4 linked regions of the Caenorhabditis elegans genome follow. The protein of the gene in region 1 interacts with the protein of each later gene in a pairwise test. Each region holds a gene or a part of one and is shown in the gene's direction. Other genes may lie near its edges.

Evidence for each region.
Region 2: the proteins of pac-1 (region 1) and cip-2A interact in a two-hybrid assay, tested with the Caenorhabditis elegans proteins (one large-scale study listed by BioGRID).
Region 3: the proteins of pac-1 (region 1) and ifa-1 interact in a two-hybrid assay, tested with the Caenorhabditis elegans proteins (one large-scale study listed by BioGRID).
Region 4: the proteins of pac-1 (region 1) and spc-2 interact in a two-hybrid assay, tested with the Caenorhabditis elegans proteins (one large-scale study listed by BioGRID).

What each region holds. Positions count from the first base shown.
Region 1 is NC_003281.10:8,493,208-8,498,129, forward strand, and holds the start of pac-1 (GTPase-activating protein pac-1), read left to right. Parts: upstream 1-1,902; coding exon 1,903-2,055; intron 2,056-2,890; coding exon 2,891-3,038; intron 3,039-3,849; coding exon 3,850-4,045; intron 4,046-4,421; coding exon 4,422-4,674; intron 4,675-4,727; coding exon 4,728-4,878; intron 4,879-4,922. UniProt on the Caenorhabditis elegans protein: GTPase-activating protein for members of the Rho subfamily including Rac1, RhoA and cdc42 and other Ras-related subfamilies including let-60.
Region 2 is NC_003280.10:270,966-275,920, reverse strand, and holds the start of cip-2A (CIP2A N-terminal domain-containing protein), read left to right. Parts: upstream 1-1,948; 5' UTR 1,949-2,027; coding exon 2,028-2,096; intron 2,097-2,312; coding exon 2,313-2,508; intron 2,509-2,748; coding exon 2,749-3,019; intron 3,020-3,392; coding exon 3,393-3,556; intron 3,557-4,091; coding exon 4,092-4,254; intron 4,255-4,415; coding exon 4,416-4,572; intron 4,573-4,955.
Region 3 is NC_003284.9:11,270,769-11,275,995, forward strand, and holds ifa-1 (Intermediate filament protein A), read left to right. Parts: upstream 1-2,028; coding exon 2,029-2,137; intron 2,138-2,501; coding exon 2,502-2,573; intron 2,574-2,621; coding exon 2,622-2,785; intron 2,786-2,832; coding exon 2,833-2,946; intron 2,947-2,994; coding exon 2,995-3,092; intron 3,093-3,168; coding exon 3,169-4,028; intron 4,029-4,075; coding exon 4,076-4,215; intron 4,216-4,264; coding exon 4,265-4,483; intron 4,484-4,536; coding exon 4,537-4,575; 3' UTR 4,576-4,714; downstream 4,715-5,227. UniProt on the Caenorhabditis elegans protein: Cytoplasmic intermediate filaments make up the structural component of the cytoskeleton providing mechanical strength to cells.
Region 4 is NC_003281.10:8,180,148-8,187,890, forward strand, and holds the start of spc-2 (SPeCtrin), read left to right. Parts: upstream 1-1,733; 5' UTR 1,734-1,785; coding exon 1,786-1,830; intron 1,831-1,884; coding exon 1,885-1,988; intron 1,989-2,038; coding exon 2,039-2,252; intron 2,253-2,302; coding exon 2,303-3,142; intron 3,143-3,186; coding exon 3,187-3,960; intron 3,961-4,008; coding exon 4,009-4,422; intron 4,423-4,464; coding exon 4,465-4,771; intron 4,772-4,818; coding exon 4,819-5,707; intron 5,708-5,756; coding exon 5,757-6,896; intron 6,897-6,943; coding exon 6,944-7,238; intron 7,239-7,284; coding exon 7,285-7,743. Other genes in the region: putative calcium-binding protein C50C3.5, read left to right, coding at 1-149.

The sequences.
Region 1 (4,922 bases):
ATACTACCGACATCCCCATCGTCGCCACAATCGGTTACATAATAATTATCGTTCGCAATCGGGCGCCACTGCCGCCACACATTCACTCACAGACAGTATACTGTTGGGCACTGATGCTTGTTAGTGTGGTACACGACGACGACAACCATAGATAATTCGCTCATTCATCAGAATCTGAGGACGAGATGAGGGCCACGATGATGATGACAAGCGTGTCAAGGTGAACTCGCGTAGTCTTTCCGTCCGTGTTTGCCTCGTTTTCGCGCGCGCACCCCTTCTTCACTGGCGCACCTGGCTTGTGTCCTTTTCATCGAATCGCTGTCCTCTAGATGTCGTTAGTCTCGTTCCTTATTTCATTTAACGTTCAAGGTTCCTAATATTCTCCATAATTTGTAATTCGAAAAACGCTTCGAATTCTCTCATTATCAAAATTTACGATATCAGCTCATGTGCTTTGTAAATTAGTTTCAATCCGCCCAAGATTCATTTCTATTATTGTCATAAAATGATTTTATTTGGTTTTGTTCTGAAAATTCTGAGACATTCTTGATCCACTCATTAAGATCTGAGAATCTTCCGTGCGAGATTTGAAACTTTTTGAATAATCTTTCGTCTATCATCTCTCTAAATATCTACATCTGGATGGCACATCCGGGTGTAAAACTATAAGATGCCAATCGACAATGATGAGGGAGAAACAAAAAAAGAAAGGAGGATTTACTTTTGTTTTCTTTTCGAACATCTGCTTTTGTCCGCGTTTTTTTTCATCCTCTTTCCATTTCCCTGCCAAGTGGGAACAAGTTTTTTGTTGAAAACTTCTTCCTCTCCCCCCTCCTCATTTCCCTCCTTGTCATTTCATTCATTTTCCTCGACAAATTCCATATTGGTTTTGTATAATGATACTTTTAAATTTCTCGAATGTGAATTTTTAAGCATATGCATCCCAGCCTAGAAGTGCCCTGATTTGAATTTTATGAGCTGAGCATGAAGAATATCTGCATCCTCACCTCTGCCGTATAATGTGTGCCAGCCCACGCCTGCACAAATTTTATTGGTCGTTATTTTACGCCGTTGCAATGAAGGTATATCGGTACACCTCAACTACGCACTTTTTGATGCTCAACGGATTATTTGAATTTCAAACTAAGTGAAATCGCTATAGCATTTACATTTATAATGCATTTTGTATTCACAGCGTACCGTTTTGCTATTTACTCAAATAGATTCTTTTCAAAATTCATAAAAGTGGATTGATTGCTCTAAATCGTCTAGTTTAAAAATTTTTTCATTGTATTTTTAAATAAAAATGTAGAAAAATATTATTAAGAAAATACTATCACAGTTTGTTCAAACAATTTATTTTTGATCAACCTCGTCATTCGAACTTCAGCAGGTAGATCAAAAGTAAATTATATGAAAAACCTTGATTGTATCGAAATTTGTAGCATAATGATTAAAGTTTCGTGATTCCTTGCCGTAACCTTTTCGTAGTCAGAACGCGCCAGACAAACCTTCGAATTATCAGAAGCTCAAAAATATATGTTTTTGGTTTATCATGGAACGAAAATATTTCTAATTGGATTCTGGGTTCAATTGCTACTGCTCCGAGGTCATTTCTTTGTGAACATGCATAATATATTTCCTTTGTTTCCCATTCCTCTGCTACACTTTCTCCATTTCCTCCAAAAATTTTGGACGATGCTTTTCGGATCGCTTTTCTTTTGCTTTCTCAAGAATATTTATTGCTTATAAAATTGTTGTTCCTCAAAACTCTATATTACTCTCTTCTAACAAAAAATACAATTTTCAGATAATAATAGTGTGCGTCAGACGGCACACGACGTCAAACACGTCAAACATAACGAACAACAGAAGAAACAAGGAAAGAAGAGTTTCGGCTCGATGGAGGAGCACCATCGACGGCTCCATGTCAAGGCGGAGCGTGCGTCGGTGATAGGAGGAGACATTGTCGACGGAGCATTCGGCAGTTGGGCTCTTCGAGCAGCACGTAGTGAGCATCAACTTAAGCAGCAGAGTAACGAAGATTTAGCTCAGGTTGGTGGAATAAATTACATTTTGTTCAAATTAAATATTTTTGTTGAGAAAAGAAATACAACAGAATTGAAATAATTATTAGCAAGGTTCGAGAAATCTAGAAAAAAAATCGAAAATTAAAAAGCGAAAATTTTCCAATTTTTTGTAGCAAATTAACAATAAAATTAAATTAAAAAAAAAATACTTTGTGCATGTTGATTTAAAAAAAATCATGCAATTTTCTTTAAAACAAAGGGAAAATGACCAAAATATTGAGCTATTTTTCGAGATATAAGAAAAAAATTTTTTCGATTTTAGTAAGAATCGAAAAAACGACATCCTTGTTTGGAATATCGTATTAAAAAGATTTACCAAAAATGCTAATAACTATTTCGAGCTCTGTTAAATTAATTCTGACAATTTTACTTTTTACAGACGTTTAGCTGACGCTACTCGTAGAATTAACTGTAAAATGTAAGAAACAGAAAATGGAAAAAAAATTCCTGATTCCATTAGCGTTCTATTCTGAAAGCTATTTAAGTAAAATTGGTAGTAGAAAAAGCAGAATGATTAACCATTTTCTCCTTTTTTCGCCATAAAGAATTGGATTCAGTGCAGTCAGAATCACGGCTTTTCTCCTCGTTTGCATCTTTCATAAAATCGGCTCCGCGCTTTCCTGCTTCTTTCCGATTACCCATTTTCTTTTATCCGATTTTATGTGCTGTACGATGAGAAAAGCCGAAATTGGTGAAAAATAAATACGGAATACGGTAGCTTGATAAATTTCAATTGTCCCGCCCCGTTCTCTAGTATTCTTTTTCTTTTCGTTGGAACAGTAAATTATTTGTAATTTCAGAATGCTCGAATCTCGGCATTGCTCGGTGAGATGCGTCCAAGAATGTCAGCGATGCCACCAAATGGACATCAACAGCAATATCAGCCACAGTTGAGAAGAAAAGCAAATACGACAAATATTGTGGATGTATCATCACAAGTTCCATCAGGTAAGGAATATTTATTACTCAGATGCAAAATTTTTCTATTTTCGCTCCAAAAAAATACGGTACACCGTCTCAAAGTTTCCGATGTTCTTGAAAGCAAGCGAGTGTGCGCCTTTGAGGAGTACTGTAGTTCCCAAGTATTTTTTGTTGCGAGATATTTTCGAATGTTTCATAAGTGTAAATCTTTAAAATTATTGAAAAATATGTCAACATATATTTTTTAAAATTCATAAAATCTTGAAGAAAAAAATCAGCAAAACATAATTTCTACACGTGTTTTTTGTCGAAGAAATTTAATTTTTTTCCTTACTAACCAAAGGTGCCATCGAATTTTTTTCAGAGCCGATCAAAAACGAACAATCGAATAAAAAATGTTTAGAAGATTAACAATAAAATTCAATTTTTAAAATCAATTTTTGTTTTTTTGTTTGTAAATAAAAAAGAACAATTTTATTTTTAATATTTTTTTTTGAAATATCGGTTTGAATTTAAAAAAAAAACTGCAATTATTCGATTTTTCTTAAAATCAGAAATCAATTTTTTCGATGATTGTGAAAAGTCGACACCCTTGCGCCCAAAGAAGAATCCTGAGATTTTCATATTTCATTCTGAGAATTTAAATTTTTTTGGCAATTAAAAAAATTGTCAAATTACCGCCCAACTACAGTAGTCCTTAAAGACTCTTTCAATCTAAATAACACGTCTGTCACTTTGTTACCGGCTGCGGTTTTTATAGAAAAATTTGAGAAATATTGCATCTGAACAAGTTATTAAAGGAAAATTGGATGTTCTAATCTTTTAATAGAATTTTCAGCACGAAATGCAATTTACGGGTCTTGGCAAGATCGTCATCGTCCAACGCGTCTGTATGGAAGTCAACTTGTTTCGTCTTCTTCAACTCTTCCCAAATATGATCAATTGTATTGCAATACAGCGTCACCATTAACTGGAAACGGATCAACCAATACAATTGCCACAACTGGAATTCGCAGAGAACCACCTGAATATGGGTATGTATTCATTCTGCCTTGTGTCGTTGTGATCCCTAAAATACAAAAAAAGAAACGTATTTTCAATCAGAAAATCACTACAAAATTGTGATTTAAGAAAGAGCGAATTCCTATTTTCTCTGTTAAAATTCTAACATTTTTTTTTTCATAAAATTTTTTTTTTTTTAATATTTTTCGGCAAGAAAAACAAAACCATTTCGATTTTCCGGAAAATCGAAAAATCGAAAATAATGATCAAAAAGTTAACAATAAATTCAAATTGGAAAACCGACATCCTTGATGTGCACCACTATTTGAAACAAACTTTTCCCACTTTTATCGCTTATTTAAAAATTATTTTTAAGCTTCTCACAAAAATTATAATTTCTACGTTTAGAAATGTTGGTCGCTCGGTGTCAACTTGGCAAGTTACAAACTCGGAACATCGTCCATCATTGCAAGCAGGATGGTTGAAAAGTTCACGTCCATTAGCTCGCGGAGCACTCTCACCGGCTGCATATTTCCGTGATTTGGAGAATAGACATGGAAGTGGAGCGAGCTCTCCGATCGTTGGAGGATTATCAGTTGTGGCGGTACCGATTACCCAGCGTCATGCTCCAACTGCTGGACTTGCACCTATTAGTGATGATGTGAGATTTCTCATATAATTTTCACGTTTTATATTTTTTTATAATTTTTTTAGATATCCACTTCCAAAGTATCATTGGATACGGAGAATCAACAATTGAATAATGAAGACTCTGATAAAATATCTGGAAGTGCTTTATCCCGTAACACGCCTAGACAAGCAAGTTTTATGGCTGCAATGCAGAGGCATCCATTGAAAGAAAGTAAGTAAAATTCTTCTCATTTAACGCGATCTTTTAGAACTTCAAAA
Region 2 (4,955 bases), on another chromosome or scaffold:
GTGTGTTCCGATTTTGCAAGTTGGAAAATGACACTCTTTTCCTGTCTGAGTCTCTCCTATATCCAGTACTATCTCTTGATGTATACGTAGCGCGATAATTGTTCCCCTTTTGAACTGAAGAAGATGATGGAGGCGTCCTTGAGTAATCCCCTTTATTCCTTCCCATTTAACTCAACTTCTCTGCCTCTTCCTATATTAAATCCTGAAATTGCATTCTTGACAGAAATAAAAAATAAGGGCACGTTGTCGTAATGGGGTGTCCGATAAAAATGTACAAACTTTGAGCTTTAATAACTTGGCTCATAGCTGGCGCTTTTGCATTCACTAAGTGCGAATGACTCAAAAATAGTTGCCCCACCATGGTCATTATTGAGAGGATTGGTTTTGGGAAGGGTAGAACACTGATTTGCGCAGGTTTCTGGAGACCGCGAAAATTGAATATTTTCTTTGTACTGAAGAGTTTTATGTTTTTCAGTCCCAAATCTTCAGTTTTTCTGGCATTTGGTTCCAATTTGTGCACAAGATAGAACTTCGAATTACCAATTTTTTGAAACTATTTGGAAAAAAATTGACCAACTTTCCAAAATGTAGGCCATCATTCAAATTTTGCAAAATTAAAAGAATGGATTAAACGTGAAAAACTTTTCTACCACTCTCTCTTTCTTTATTTTTGGGGATGAATTCGATAATTTTAATTTCTTATTTTAATAACGTGAGGAAGTTCAATTTTAAAGATTTTTCGAGATTTTTACTTTTTCTCTAATCCTATTGAGGACCGCACTTCTCGGACATTTTGGTCACTTTAAACCTCACTTCCAGCAGGGCAGGCTGGAGGCCTGCAATGCTATTGTTTTTCACTCAAACCCAAAAATCAGGGATGAAGACCTCCCTCTTACTCTTAGAAACTTTAGACCTTTTCTATCCCTACTCCCAGCAGAGCAGGCTGGAGGCCTTCTATGAGACGTATGTTTCCATAACTACGTCTGTTTTTGGAAAGGTCAGGTAATCCGGATTGAGGGCCGCAGGCCCGAATACACAAAAGTATTGAACAGCCATTAAGCCTATTCTGAGCCCAATAAACCCGAGTTGAGGGCCGCATGTCCGAATACACGAAGAAGTGTTGGAGATCCGTCAAGCCTATTTTTGCCCGAATACATGTAGAAACAGTGGGGAACCGTTAAGTGCGATTTGAAAAGTGGAAACTGTTATTTATAAAATTATCATTAAACTAAATTCTTGAGTTACTCTACGCCGAACCAAACTGCGAAGCCTAGCAAATCTCCGATTTGCTAGTCATCTCGTAGATATTCAAATTCGGTTTTGGAATTTTAGATAAATCCTAGACATACAGAAATTCTAAGATTTAGCTCTAGTTTGAACGCTACAGTGGAATTTAAATATTTTTACTTGTGTGATTTTATTCAGTTCGATGATATGAACTTTGGTATTCATGACTGAAAATCCAATAGAATGAAGCTTAGTTTTTCATAGTTTTGAGCAGTTTTCCCAGCAAAAAGGTTCCAAATCCTGATTTTCCCTAGTTTCCAATTTAGACAAGGATTACTGTAGCTACCGGGGCCACTAAAAATCATTTTTTGTGGCTTGTGTGCTTCTATCCAAATTGATGGTATGAATACCGGTATTCTCGGCTGAAACATGCAATAAATACCGTATTCCAACCAACAATTCGGTGCAATAGAGCACATTTGTCACCGAAAATGCGGAAGCTATGCCCAAATTTTTAGGAAAATCTCAAGATTTTTGCTATTTATAAGCGTAAATCCCTAGCAAAGATATCAATGTCCTTTTGGTATTTGCTCAAACCCTCCGAATCCGTTCTTGTTGATCCACTTATGTCTAGAACGCTTAATTAGCGCAGTTACTACTGTTCCCTTGTACTTTTAATAGACCTTACATTAGCGCGAAAAATCTGGTGTATAAGGTACTTTTTCAGCAATTTCCTCATACCTACTCACCTATTCTACTCAATTAATAACCTAGGAAGCGATTTTTTTTGATGGAAAACTATGGAAAGGAGCAGTTTTCGAGCGTCACAGAGATTTGCAAGAGATCCACCACCGCCGAATATCAATGAGGTATATAAGGGGGCAGTGAGCAAGTGCGCCCCACTGAGAAAATATGCGAAAACAATGCCAACGTGCTCTAATAAAATGGATTTGTAAGCAAGCGCGCGAGCAATAAAACTTTGAAAAATTCAAATTTCCGTTTACGAGGAAGCGCGCTCTGTGGAAAAATCCAATTTTTTGAATTTTCAGTGCTATGCAACCCTGCTCTAACGCTAGAATTTCCAGACTGACGCAATTTTCTCGTTGGCGACTACTTCCGCTGCCAGATATGTATCGGATAGCAGTGCTGACAACACAACTCGCCTCGATGAAGCGCTTAACGGAATGATCCGCTACGTGGCAGACATGGATCGAGCCACACGGTTATCGCTGAAAAATCAGCAATTGAAAGAGTTTTTGACGTATACCCCAGTGATTTTAAGTGAGTTTTTGGACCTGACCCAAAAATTATGGAAATTCTATTTTTAAAAAAATCGTTTTTCGAAAAATAAATTTTGTTTTTGACTCACCGCGGTGATCACCGGACCTCAATAATTCACGAAAATGTTCTAATTTTTCAGTTTTCAAAGCCGAAAATTCAATTTTTTTTTCAAATTTCTGTAAAAATCACTAATTTTCCCATTGCGTACCCAATACACCATATTTGACGCGCAATTTCCAGATGCCTCCACAACAAACATTGTAACACGCTCGAAATTCTACCGACTTCTCTTCTCAATTGCCCATCATAATATACCGATTCGTCGATTTATGGCCGGAGAGCTTCGACTTCTTGGAGCAGTATTTTCATGTCTAAAAGCATCACTTCGAGAACAATTAGGACCACAAAATATGATTGATATTCTCAGATTATTACAAGTTTTAAGTTATGAAAAGAATGTGCCATTGGAACATTGGGCAAACGAGCTTATATCGTTTTTAATGCAAGAAGTGTGAGTTTGAGGGCGAAAATTGCAAAAATTGATATATTTTGCATATTCTGCGACTGGTAGAAATTTTTATTTAAAAAATCTACAAAAAGCAAGTTTCTAACATTTTTTTTCGACAAATTTGCAATTTTCTGGTTACTGTAGTTCAGAAGCTAATTTCCAGCAAGGAAATCAACAAAAACCGAAATTCCGGTTACTGTGGCTTCAAAAGTACGCAAATTCACAGAAATTCAATTATAGAATTTTGTGGGATTTTTAAAAGATTTTTTCTTTAAATTATAGGAACAAAAATTTTACGATAATTTTAAAATTCGGGCTAAAATTTTTTTTGCTCGCAAATTAGATCAATTTTTCTAATTTTTCAAACATTTTTCAGAATACGAGAACCCGAACCAGAATGGATGCCATACTGTATTGCAATACTGTGCAATTTGGCTTCTGCATCGAAATCTGCGTGTAAACGAATAAAAATATCTACGTCATACAAGAAGTTTAGCAGGCAATTGATGAAATTACTACAGCACAACGCGAGGATAATCGGTAATTTTTGGAATAATCGAGTTTTCAGAATTTTTAGTGAAAACATGAAAATTTGAATTAATGACATAGTTGGAATTCCAATAAAATTTTTTTTTTGAAATTAGGACCACCGAAATTGATTTTTGGATTATTGATATTTAAGAATTTTTTGATTTACGGAATATTTTTAAAAATTAATTTTTTTTCATTTTTCAGTAGTTCCAAAAAACTGAAAAACAATTAGTTTTCGAAAAAGTCGAAAAAATAATTTTATTTTTAAAAAATTCGCAAAATATTGTATTTTTAGAAAAAAAATCGAAAAATTGAATTTTCAAAAAATTCGAAAAAAAATTATTCTAAAAAAAAAACCGAAAACTTGTTTTATTTTCATGAAATTCGCAAAAGAAAAAACATCGAAAAACTGTTTTATTTTTGAAGAATTCGAAAAAAAAAAATTTCAAAAAACAAAAAATTGTTTTATTTTTTAAAAACTCGGAAAAAATTGAAATTCAAAAAATAACAATTTTTAACAAATCGAAAAAAAAAGTATTTGCAGTCGTCTCAAGCCTGGTACTAATTGGATATTTGGACGAGAAAGTTCGAGATATGGTGTACTGTACTGAGAATGTCCATGATACATTTATGTGTACTTTTAATGTTCTTACTATTGGAGATGACGATTGTATGATGACACGACAGATTGCAGCTGATTTGTTGAGGTAATAAAATAATTTCCAGCGAAAAATAGTAGAAATTCAGTGAAAATTGGAGAAAAATAAGAAAATTTAGTTCATTTCTAAACTCTTTTGAAATTTACAATTTTAATGTAACGTATGAATTAAATAAATGTTGCTAAATTTCCTAAATTTCCTAATTTCAGACGCCTAGTTGTCTCGGAAAGCTCAACAACGCCCGGAGTGCCAACACTTGCTTCAACTGGCAAGAATGTGTTGAATTATGGATTTTTCATTGGAAGTATACAACAGACCGCACGTCTCCTGGTAACACTGGATCCAAGGACTGAGGAGAGCTCTAAGGTAGTGGAAAGCATGGGGTTTCAGAAAAAAAAAGTGACAAAAAACTAGAAGCGTTAATATGGGAAAATTAATTTCACGCTTAGAAGTTCAAGTAGATATGTTTAGAAAAATTTATTTTTCCAAAGTTTTGAGCAAAATTTTCAGCAAATTCTGAGTTTGCCAGAGTTTCCATTAAGCAAGGGTTACTGTAGCTTCGGAAGCCATTAAAAATGAATTTCTGTGGCTTGTGTGGCTATCCTAATTGATGGCTGGAATATCGGTATTCTCGGCTGAAACATGCAATAAATACCGTATTCCAACCAACACTTTGTGCAATAGAGCACATTTGTCACCGGAGATGCGGAAGCTATGCCCAAATTTTGAATTTTTCTGAGAAAATGATA
Region 3 (5,227 bases), on another chromosome or scaffold:
GGTTTAAAATTGTGGGAATTGCGAGATTTTGAGTTCTAAAAACAACTCAAACTGATGAAATGTGCGTCGACTTTTTTGTACTGCAACCATCGCAGTGTCCCCGACTTTCACACGATCTCTCGCTCATTTTAGACCGGTTGACAGTAGATGATCCTCAGTAATTATGAAGTTTCACCTGCCACGGGGCCGCCGTTTTCTATGCATTTGCTACTGCCTCATCTCTTTGCCGCTGCCATTTATTTTTGTTTACTGTACACATCATTCTGTTCCATTTTAACCCCTCTCCCTTTTACTATGTACTTTTCGAAAATTGTTCAATAGCCGAGAGCCCTGGATGTTTGAGCCGAGATATCTTTTTTATGTACACCGCCATGCTGGAACGCAGAGAAAACTGTTTATCTTCCCATTTTTCCAGAAACTCGTTCAAACGGATACTTCTCTCAGTGAGAAGCGGTACCTAACCAATCAACATTTCAAAAATGATGGAGATTACCAGAGAAAGTGAGTTTCTTCATTTTAACTACTTAAATTATTCCGATGACTTTCCAGGAGGTGAGTTGCGGAATGTTTGCCTTTGTATTTCGCGGTAAGGTGCTTACCATAGACTAACAAATCTAACTGATCAGCGATTGAAAATTCAAAACTTTGAAAAAATAACATTACAGGCATGCGTTTTTTAAAGAAAAAAGATTAATGAAACAGTGAGATAAGACGGAGTGCAAGATGAACAAGCACATCGGTAAATAAGAGGCTCGTTTCTTGTGCCTTGTCGCAATTTTTTATTGAGATATCTTTCCGATTGTCATTGAAGCATCACATTTATCCGCATAGGCTTATCTTATACTAGTGAATATTTTTGCAACTAGATCCTACTACTTTTTTATATAAAAATGTACACTACTACTCGTCCGGGTAAGTAACTGGCTGAAAATTGCATTCACTTCGGCAAAATAAATTATCTAACAGGAGTTTATTTACAAAAACTTGGTAGATCATTTCTGAATGTATATATAGTTTAAAAAACATCACTTTTTTTTAGACCTGAGCAATTTAAATACTCTTGCTAATATAAAACACCGTGTTTGCTGAAAAAATACAGTGTTTTACATAGTTAAAGCTCAATCCGTTGCTTGAATTTCATTTAAACGAATCCATATTCAATCTTGAAAGTGACAGAAGTAGAATAGGAGTGTTCCCAGATTTAATCGCTTTTGTGAAAACCAGACAACTAACACATATTCTCGCAACTTATATATGTAGGTGTTTCTAAACTTTTTCAAACATATTTGCACCGTTATTCCATTTGAACTAGTCATCAATCAATAAACTACTCGTGAGTACTCAAAGTTAATTCAAGGCTAATTTTCTTCTCACTTCAAATTTTTGAACAATTTTGTACAAACATATATTCCGAGGCGTTGTCTAGTTTTTGTCTCCTCTTCCACAAAAGTGCGTAGGCACGGTAGCAAATTGAAATGAATCACCTCAACCCAAAAAAATCTCAAATGTCATTTCGCACTTTAGCAAAGCCTCGAAACGTATGAATTTATGCAAAAACGCATGTCCAATAGGCGAAAAAAGTAGAATCGAGAGGAATCGTAACGACGTAAGGGTTGACTGAGTTGAGGATGAGATGATTTTTGGAGGACGCGCCCATCCCTCACACCTATTCTTTTTTCCGCATTCGCGCCAGATATCAAGAAGCCGCCGTTCCGTCCTCACTTCACACCCATTTTAAAGTGATTCTTGACGCCTCCCTTTGCAAAAAAATTCCAAACACCGACTTGAATCAATATAAATATACATAGGCAAACAACTATGATCTCATTTCCTTTCGTGGAAAAGGGCAATAATAATATTTGATTGAGTTTTCTATTTCTCCTCATAGATTTTCATAGGTTACTCATAGGTTTTTTTCTCTTTATACAACAGTCTAGAATACTGAAATATATTAATTTTGCATTGCCTGTTTTGTTCTGCCGCCATGTATAAAAAGAGTTGAGGAACAAAAAATTTCATTTTCTGACTATGGAAGGTTATATTGTTTCTCTTCCATCTTCGCGACGATCAAGCGCTTCTAGCGCTCGAAGCGAGCAAAGTTCCACACGAACTGTCAATTACGAAGTGATTGAAAAGAGTAAGCCTTTCTTGTGCCCTCAATTTCAACTAACTCAAAAAATTGCAATTTTCGTTTAATCCCTTTTGTCTACATGCTATTATCATTAGTGTGGGAGGAAGCTGCGGTTGGTAGCAATGAAGGAGGAGGAGTAGAAAATGTTGAATAAAAAGTGAGGAGCAGTGCAAGAAATTTGACGCCCACCTAGTTTGCGCACCGTTGAGACTCCGCTTTTGTCTCTACAGTCAGCCTCCGACTAATTCCTTGGTCACACATTACGGCAGTCAGGGGTTGCCATACAACTCACAACCTCATTTTGAAATTTCGAAGCTGCCGAGTACAGTCGGCCCTTTTCACTTTCACAATAGAAATTTACGATTTGCAGCGATGTCTTTCACTTCCACAACACCTTCAGCTAGAGCTCCGCTCGGAGGGCGTACAACCGGAAACGTTACTTGTAAGTTTATTGTTGTCTGTGCAAAACATTTAAATCAACATATTCCAGCCCAAGATCGTATGCTCAAAATTGTGACCGAGATGCGCTCAGGTGCTGGATCCGGCTTGTCGCCATTTGGACAAAATGCTGCATCAACCATCCGTGACTCTCGTGAACGTGAGAAGAAAGAAATGAGCGATTTGAACGATCGACTTGCTAGCTACATCGAAAAGGTGTGTAATAGGAATAAGATGGACCACACCCAATAGTTGTTTTTTAGGTCCGTTTCCTAGAAGCCCAGAATAGAAAATTGGCAGCCGATCTTGACGCACTTCGTTCCAAATGGGGAAAAGACACGCACAACATTCGTAATATGTATGAGGGAGAACTTGTGGTAGGAAAATACAGAAAGGAAACTTTTGGTTAGAAAACTATATTATAGGATGCTCAAAAGCTGATTGATGAAACCAATAAGCAACGCAAGGATATGGAAGGTCAACTCAAGAAGATGCAAGATGAACTCGCTGAGATGCGCAGAAAGTACGAACATATGTTTTGAAAATTATGAACAGCATATTACCGTTATTATACTTTTTCTACAAAATGTATTTTTCAGATTGGAAGATGCCACCAAGGGCCGTGAACAGGATCGCGCTAAGATCGACGCACTTCTAGTAACCCTTTCTAATCTTGAAGCTGAAATTAGCCTTCTGAAACGTCGTATTGCTCAGCTTGAGGATGAGGTGAAGCGGATCAAGCAAGAGAATCAGCGTTTGCTTTCTGAGCTTCAAAGAGCCCGTACCGACTTGGATCAAGAAACCCTCAATCGTATTGACTACCAAAACCAAGTTCAAACTCTTCTTGAGGAGATTGATTTCTTGCGTCGTGTCCATGACAATGAGATCAAGGAGCTTCAAACTTTGGCTTCTCGTGATACTACTCCAGAAAACCGCGAGTTCTTCAAGAACGAACTCTCCTCGGCTATTCGTGACATCCGTGAGGAATATGACCAAGTCAACAACGTTCACCGTAATGACATGGAATCCTGGTATCGTCTTAAGGTCCAAGAGATCCAAACGCAGTCTGCCAGACAGAACATGGAACAAGGGTATGCCAAAGAAGAAGTCAAAAGACTCCGCACCCAACTCAGCGATTTGCGTGGAAAGCTCGCTGATCTTGAAAGCCGCAACTCTCTCCTCGAGAAACAAATTCAAGAGCTCAACTACCAATTGGAAGATGATCAGAGATCTTATGAAGCAGCCCTCAACGACAGAGATTCCCAAATCCGCAAAATGCGTGAGGAATGCCAAGCCCTTATGGTCGAATTGCAAATGCTCCTGGATACCAAACAAACTTTGGATGCCGAAATCGCCATCTACAGAAAGATGCTCGAAGGAGAAGAGAACCGTGCTGGACTCAAGCAACTTGTCGAACAGGTTGTCAAGACCCATGCTATCACACAGGAAACCGATACCGGTAGCAGAAAGACAATTTTTTCCATTAAAACATACATCCTTTTTCAGAGACGATGAGAGTCGTCAAGGGCGAAACTGCATCCCGTCAATCGTTCCAGCGTTCTGCAAAGGGAAATGTTTCTATCCACGAGGCATCGCCGGATGGAAAGTTCATCGTCCTCCAGAACACACATCGTGCCAAGGACGAGGTAGGAACTTGAATCACAACAGTTTCAAATATTTTTTGTTCTCTTTCAGGCTATCGGTGAGTGGAAGTTGAAGAGACGTATCGACGGAAAACGTGAGAATGTCTACACGCTTCCAAGAGACTTTGTCCTTCGTGCCGGAAAGACCCTCAAAATCTTCGCCCGTAACCAAGGAGTTGCCTCACCACCAGATCAATTGGTCTATGATGCTGAAGACTCGTTCGGAAGCGGAAACAACGTCCAAACCATCCTCTTCAACAAAGAAGGAGAGGTGAGATCAACAATTAAATGTCATTATATTTACAACATTGATATTAATTTCAGGAACGTGCTACCCACATCCAACGCCAGAGCACTGCCTAATCAGGCGACTTCCCAACAATTAACTAGATATTGTGACAATTTCTTGTTGAAAATCCCAAAATCTTCTTCCCATTTTGTAACTTTCATGCTGATTTCTGCGCATTTATTTGACCTTATTTCAATAAATCATTTATCATTCAAACATCAAAAAAAAATTTGATCACAATGTATTTGCGTAGGTTATTTTCATAGAACAGATGATGTAAAATTCTCAAAATCGTCGGAATTCGCCCACCTGAAATGGAAGCGTATGTTTTTGGTTACTAATCAATAGAGCTGAACGAAATGCCGTAAATAATTGTATATCGGCGAGATGAGCCGACGTCGACATCTAAAACTCGCGTTACTGAGAAGTTTAAAGTGTTGTCCTTCTTAAAATTCCAGTTGCACGAATATAATGTTTTAAATTTTTAAATATAATTTTGAAGTAGGAGCGTATGCCAAACAAGGGAAAATATTTTGAAACTATGGTCACTGCGCTTGATTCGAGAAAATGAAGCTACTACAAAACTGTCTAGGGTTTTAACAAAATATTTTTCCGCTGGAATTGTTACCAAATACTTTTTCAGCGTTCCATCTAAAAGCACATCTATTGCATTTTTAAATGAGCTTTAAATTTGCACTGAGCACTACAGTTTGCTATATTATTTCA
Region 4 (7,743 bases), 310 kb from region 1:
CGGCTGAAGAACTTGTTGTTGCTTGGAGTGAAACAGTTTCAACAAATATCACCGTCAAAGAAGCATGTGCACTTATTCAACAAGCAGATACACAAGGACGCGGAAAAGCAACAATCCACGAGTTTATCACAATGTGTCAGACTGTATAACTTCCAATATACGCATTATATCTGCTTCATCCTTCATTCTCACTTACCATCTTTAATATTGATCTCATTTATCGTATTTGCTATTTTACCATTCGATTGATTGCATTATTTTTTGAAAAAAATGGGCTTTTGAGAATCTTAGAGCAATGAACCCCTACATAAAGTTTTTGTAACAAAATTCGAATGAAAAATTAGTTGAAAAACTGAAAATTTGAAAATTATATATTTTTTTGTTTTTCCTGGACCGTTTTACTACTTACTAAAAAAGTAATTTTAAAGGTAGAGTAGCGCAAGTGGGGATTTTGTCTAAATGCACTTAAAATGATCCAAAACAACCGAATATCATAATAAAACACTCCAAAAAATTTGAGATATTTCATAATTTCCGGTCAAAGTTTTAGCAAATTGCCAAAAATTTTGAAAAATACGAACTTTTGAGGAAATTGAAAGAAACATCGCACGTTTAGACCCCTACAATGTTTTAATACAAATAATTTAAACAAAATTAAAACATAAAAAATTAAACAATTTTTTTTTGGTCGACTTCCAAAATTAAGAGTGGCAGGAACTGAGTAATTGCCACTTTTTGACAGTAAATAAAAATTTTTCAAAAATTTAGTTTCAAAAAAAGTACATAATTGGAAGTGTTGTTTTTCTTGTGGTACGGTACGGGCCAACTTTTTACTCCGGAATTGTCTATCCAATAGGAATCAGAGAGAACGAGTGCAACTTTTGCTTCGAATTATCCACACTGGATATATGATTAACCATTACGGCCAGAGCATCGGCGAGTGAGGCGAGTGGCGTATCCAACCTGAAATCGCTGTCAAAGGTAGAGTTCTCGTATGGTTCAAAGTCAAAGGTGTCGAATACACTGAGTATGTGTACGTCTGAAACAGAAACAATAATCTGTTGGGCACCAGTTGGATGCGCCACTCGCCTCACTCGCCGATGCTCTGGCCGTAATGCTTAATCATATGTGGATAATTCGAAGCAAAAGTTGCACTATTTCTCAAGGATTCCTATTGGATACAAAGATCGTACTGAAAATGTCGGGTGACATGTTGTTGCATCTGCTCTGGTTAGCGGCATCGACAGTAATCGCAATTGGTGGGGTTACTGTAGTCTTGTATACATCTGGAAAATTGATTGGAAAATACCAGTAATTGAAGCAGGCGCTGATTATCAAGTTTTTATTATTATTGATATTTCAGGACTTGCTCTGACTGCTGGTTGCACAATTATTTGCGGATATTTATGGTTTTAAAAAGAGTAAAAATTTCTATTTTTCAAATTCTACCTGATGGCCGAAGCCTCTTAATGGACGCGAATTAGGAATAATTTTTGTACCGGAATTTCACTAAAAGGCGTGTGACACCAAGTTTCGAAAAAAATAAGGTTGCCATGTGTTTCAAAATTGTCTGTAAGAGAGGTGTTCAAGATGTTTTAAGGTGGTTTAATTAATTGAATTTTCACGTGATATTTTGCAATTTCACGTGAACTGTTGTTTTCAACAAGAACGCAAAACGGGAGAACTTGAACACGTGGTGCCACGTTGCAAAACACACAGGGAAACTTTTGGCATTTCTTCGTTCGTTCTATTGAAAATTAGTTTCAATTTTGGTTTAATCAAGTTATGAAGGCAATTATTCATGATGATACTGTCGTTCGTGAAATCGAGGTACGTTTTTTTCAAATAATTATGATTGAAAAATATCAAAAATTTCGTTTTCAGGGACAGCGTGTGCAGGTGCTTCAAAAGTTTGCCGATTTTGAACTGAAAGCTATTAACAAACGAAGTTCGATCATCCAATCGCGTCAACTGCAAGTCTACCTCAGGTTATTATCATGTCAATCATTGTTTTAAAAATAAAAATGTAAATTTATAGGTCAGCGGCTGAGTTCAAGCAGGTTATCGAGTCACTGATTGAATCATCTGAAGCAGTAGTTACTAGTCAATGTTCTGAAAGTTCCATTCGCGGACAGAAAGTTATTGGGCGTCTACAACAAGAAGCTGATGGAAAGCACAATAATTTGCCAATGTTGGAGAACGAGGCCGCCCGTCTTTTGAAAGAAGGTCACTATGCTTCGGATGAGATTCAGGCAGAGTTCAAAAAATTTAAATACAAATGTTCTAGTATTTTTTTTTTCAGAAGACCTTCAACAATGTTCTATCTCGATGGGAGTATCTGCTGAAGCTTCTCGCTTTGAAATGGCGCCAACTTGAAAAGGAGATTGAATCCATTGAATTCAAAAACAAGTGTGATTCCATTGTTGACTGGATTTTGAAAATAAAAGAATCGGACGAATCTGGAAAAGAAATTTTCGACGAAATTCGGAAGTGTTCCATGGTTTGGAATGAAATATCTGCTACCTTCCAACAAATGCTTGATCCCACTGCAACTGATACGAGCAACTATGAAAAAGTGCATGAAACTTGGTCCAACTTCCAGGAATACATCGATTCTCTACACAAGAAGCTTAGCGAAAATGAGCGCTTCCAAAAGTTTGTTGATAATGCAGAAGATTTGATCAAATGGATGGATGACAAGGAGAAAGAGATTTGTGAGAAGTATTCAAAAATGGATTTTGAAGTTATGATGAAGTATCGGAAAACAGTTGAGATTGAAATGAAGAGTGTAGAGCAACGGATTAAAGATCTCAAGGAACAATTTGTTGGTATGGAAAATGATAATCTTCGGAACATCCCGGATCCGAAGAATCACGTCATCGATGTTGAGCAACGTTTTGAGTCATTCCAAGCTTTCGTTCAAAAGTGGAAAACCGATATAGAGAACTCTGCCGATGCCGACAAATTGATGAAAGAAGCTGAAAACATCTGCTGTTGGTCATCTGAAAAAATTGAAGATTTGAAGATAATGGCGACTTCAGATACGCCGGATTGCGATGAAATTATCATGTGGATTGAAACAAATAATTTTGATTTTAATTCTTGGGATAATGTTGTTGTTCAGTTCCTTGCAAGTTCTCAGGTAAACAGATCCCCAACCTTGTGAAATTAATAATAGTTTTTTAGGAACTTCTAAATAAACAGAACAATGGAAACGTTAAACAAGAAGTTGAAAGAACAACTGAACTTTATGAGTTGGCAAAGAGAACTATGAAGACTTGCAATGAGTTTTTGGAGGATCGTATCCAAACTATCAATATGGAGAAGCTCATCTTTCAAACTCATCAAAAAGCTGTCATTCTTGCATCATTTCTTCAAAATCACGAAGAAAGCCCGGAAGATATGAACGCTGAAGATATTGAAAAGGAGATTCGCGTAATCGATGGCATCACTGTTCGTTGTACTTCCGTTGTTGAGCAGATCGAGAATATTGAGGACGAGCTGCGTCAGAAGCCAGAACAACTCAACCAGCTGAGCGTATACGCGTCGAAACAAGTGAACGATTTAAACGAGATGAAAGAAGTTCTGAAAACGACTGTCAATTCTAGAAAAGCTATCCTACAGCGTCTTCTCGATGTCACGTACTTTCTCGATAACTGTTGTGAAACTAGAAAACACACTGATACCATGCTCAGCAACGTGAAAAGCAGTAGAGTCAAGCTCGAAATCGTGCAACCTATTAAGGATCAGCTGGATTCTTTGAAAGTAGAGATGGTGGATATGATGTTGGATGATCAGCAAAAGAACATGGCGAATGAAGAACTCAGAAAAACTTATGAAAATCTGAAAAAGATTGAAATGGAAGTCGGTAGACAGGCAAGCCAGAAAGAAGCTAGAAAGGCAGCTGACAGAACAGAAGCCTTCGTTGGAAGAGTACAAAATTGGATTGATAACAATCAGGTATTTATATCTTATGAAAGACTAATGAAAATGTATTCTTTTTTTCAGATTCAGGATGATACCGATATCGTTTCTGAAACTGTGAATCTCCGACGTACTACCACTCATTATCAACATCTGTTGTCAATCTGTGCTTCGTATAAGAAATCAATTGATTCAAAACTAGAAGAGTTGGCCAACGTTTATACTGATAATGATCCAAGATGCCTTCTCGAAGGAATTCAGAATTCTGTTGAAAACTTTGAAGTGAAGATTCACCAAAAAGTAGATGATACAAAGAAACTTTTGCACATCACTGAAAACATGAACGAACTGAATTCACAAAACGAATGGATCAGGGCTAAAATCAAGTCGCTAAGTGCGGAACCTCTCTGGGATTCACTGTTAATTGCCCAGAAAATGAGAAGACGCCACGATAACGATTTCGAAGAAATTGCAAATCGTCGAAAACAAATTACTGAGGTCCTAATAATTGTTTGTTTAGTTATAATAAGATTTTTTCAGGTAATCCAGAAGAGTGCGACAACGAAAGATCAACCGATACTTCTTGAGATTGAACAAAATTGGGATCGAATGAAGGATTTGTTTGACGAACGAGGAGGTGTTCTTGAAAGAATTATCAAATTGTACGAATATGATGAAGAGTCATCGACAACATCAGAATGGCTTCGTGAAAAAATGATATGTGCCGATACAATCGAACCTAAAGAAGACGAATCATTCAATGAAGTTATGGTCAAAAAGTTGGAAGCCTTGACTGAGGAAGTTGAGAATTACAAACCTAGAATCGTTGAAACACATGCTCTTCTTGGTACGTTCCCATTTTTGCACAGATGTCTAAGATTATAGTTTTTTCAGAAGACGCACTGGTCACTCCAAACACAAAAGATTCTACCTCTCAGCAAACAATGAAATTGAAAGCTGTACTGGCTCGAAAGCAGGGAGAAATTGAATCTGATTACAAAGCATTGAAGAAACTTGTGGAGAGAAAGCTGAAAACACTCAAAGCAATTCTACAGGATGCAGACATTTCTCATCAAATTGCTGATATAGAGCAGTGGATTGAGGTTGAGCAGAATCAGTTGAACAGATATTTGGCATCCGATTCCGATGAGCTGCCCACAAAGTTAGATGATGTAATGACGAATATTCAAAGAAGACGTTCCAATCTCACCGATATCAAGTGCAATGTAGTTGGACAAGTACAAATGCAAAAGATTGACGACGCATTCGGTATGCTTGATGTTTTCTCGTTTGAAGTCCACCGTATTCGCCAAAAAGCATGCCGTCTCGAGATATTCAAGAAGTTGGAGAGCCAGACTGAAGATGTGATTGACGCCATCCAAATGAAACTTGAAGAAATTAATGTTTCTCAAAGCACTAGTAGAAAGCGACAAGTTGCTGGTGATGATCTGTCGAACCTCGCCGGTGATCTGGAAACACTCAGAAGACGCGTCGTTGAAGCTCTTGACAGATCAAAGGAAGTGAGAGCAGCCAATGCTGATTTGGCTCCACAAGTGTATGACACCGAAGAAAGACTTGAAAAGCAGTGGACGGATGTTAGTAAGGCCTATGAAAATCATAAAAAACGAATGGAGCGCTGTAAAATTCTTTCCGAATTAGACAATGAGATGATCAATATGGAGCAATGGATTGATACGTTCAACGAGGAGGTTACTGTAGTTATTGGAAGTATCCATGATGGTCTTGGAGTACAAGTTGGTTTAGAATCCATTGATACGTGGAGGTAAGATTGATCAGACTTTTTAAAGCATTTCAATTTCAAATTATTTCAGAGAAGAACTATCTCATCGTGTGGATCAACTTGGAGGTGTCAAAAACTCTCTTTCCTCTGTTGGCAATGCAATCACAGAACAAGATAAAATGGATCCTTGGCTCGAGAGAGTGTCTAATATTGAGAATAATCTAGTGAAAGCTCGTGAAACAATCGACACGAAACAGGACGACCTCTGCAGATTCGCGGATATTCTAGGCGCTGAGCGGGATTGTGAACGACTCTATTCGTGGGCTTCTGGCAAAAGACATCAGTTGGAGACAGAAGCAACAATGTGTGATGCAAAGACATTGGTTCGGAGAATGAATGAAGTGGAAAAGATGATGATGAGTAGAATAGGTGAAGTTGATCAATTGCGAGATTTTTTGGATAATCTGAAAGCATCAAAAACGTCCGACACTTTCCAAACAACTGAGCTGGAAAATAAATTCGAACTGTTGGATGTGGAATGGAACCATTTGGAAGAAGAATTGAGAAGGAGAGAAGTAGATTTGAATGATTCCATGTCACAGATTCTAATCGATGAGCAATTTGACACAATTCGACAATGGATTAAGGAACGCACCGAAGCACTAGAAGCTGATGTGGAAGTCTCGAACAAGACAAAGCCTGATGATATTGAAAGAATGCAAAAGAGACACGATGAGCTAGCTTCCGATATCAACGATTATCACACAATCTATGAAGATTTTCTCAACAATGGCCAGGTTGAAGAGGAAAAAGTTCAAGTAATTCGTCACCTATGGAGCAGCCTCATTGAATCGTCAACAACACGCCAGAAATCGCTTGCACAAGAATGTCAAAAAAGCCGCCTTTTTGAACTTCTAGATGGCATGAGCATTTGGCTGATTGATGCTGAAACAGATGTTCACTCCACTACAAACTTCATTGGCTTGTATAACTCTGTAGATGCTGAAAAAGCTTCACGTCTTTTGGTATCTCTAGGAGAGCAAGCTGGAGAAAAGGATGATATCTTGATACGTATTCAATGTGATGAATCTGTGGATGTTATTGTGGAGAAGTTGCGTAACGGAATCTCACAGTTGCAAATGCTAATTAAAGCAAATAATGAAGATTTGGATGTCTGGAAAAGCATGCAAAAAGTTGTCACAGCAATTGATGATGAGATATGTTGGTTCAAGTTAGTTATTATTGTTTTGATCCTCATACTTTATATAACAATTTCAGAGAGATCAATGTAATCTTCTCAAGTACAAACGTTGGTAATGATGTTTCTTCAAATGATGTACTTAAGCGGAAGCATCAACGTCTTCAACTGGAAACGCAGCGTCGAGAACAAAAAGTGGCAAAAGTCGTCTATCTCACAACTGAGCTAGTGTCAAGTCATCGACGTCCATCCCTTGAATATAAATTTGTCGAAATCGATGAGAAAGTGGCTGAATTGACAGAACTACTGGAGAGCAATCGTCAAATTGCGGAGATTCGTACGAACCGGCTCGAAAAGTGGACGGAGTACTTTGTGGTGATTTTAAAAACACTTAATTATTTTTAAACTATATTTTCTTCAGACAATGAATGAAATCCGTGAGAAAGAGCAACTTCTCGATCAAATTCTCGATCTCAAAACAGGCCTACCAGAAACAGTGCTAGCTGATGTTGAACGAAAGCTTCAAGTTTTGGAAACAGTTGGAGATCATATGGACACATTGACGATCAAAGCTGAACAGATGTCAGATGATGAAGTGATTCGAACGAAGGTTGCTGTAACAGCAATCGATCAATTGCGAAAGAAATGGTTGAAAATGAATGAAGAACTGAAGAAAATGCATCAGAAGATCAAGGAGTCAATTGAATTCACAAAGTTTGTTTCTACATGCGACACTGGTATTCAATGCATTCGTGAGCAGGAAGAGAAGATCGGAAATCTGGTCAGGCATCAGAAACCTGCCAGCAATTTTGAAAACACCGCATATCATTCTACCATGACTTTCGTTGAAACCTACACCAAAGATACATTTGAGAAGCTC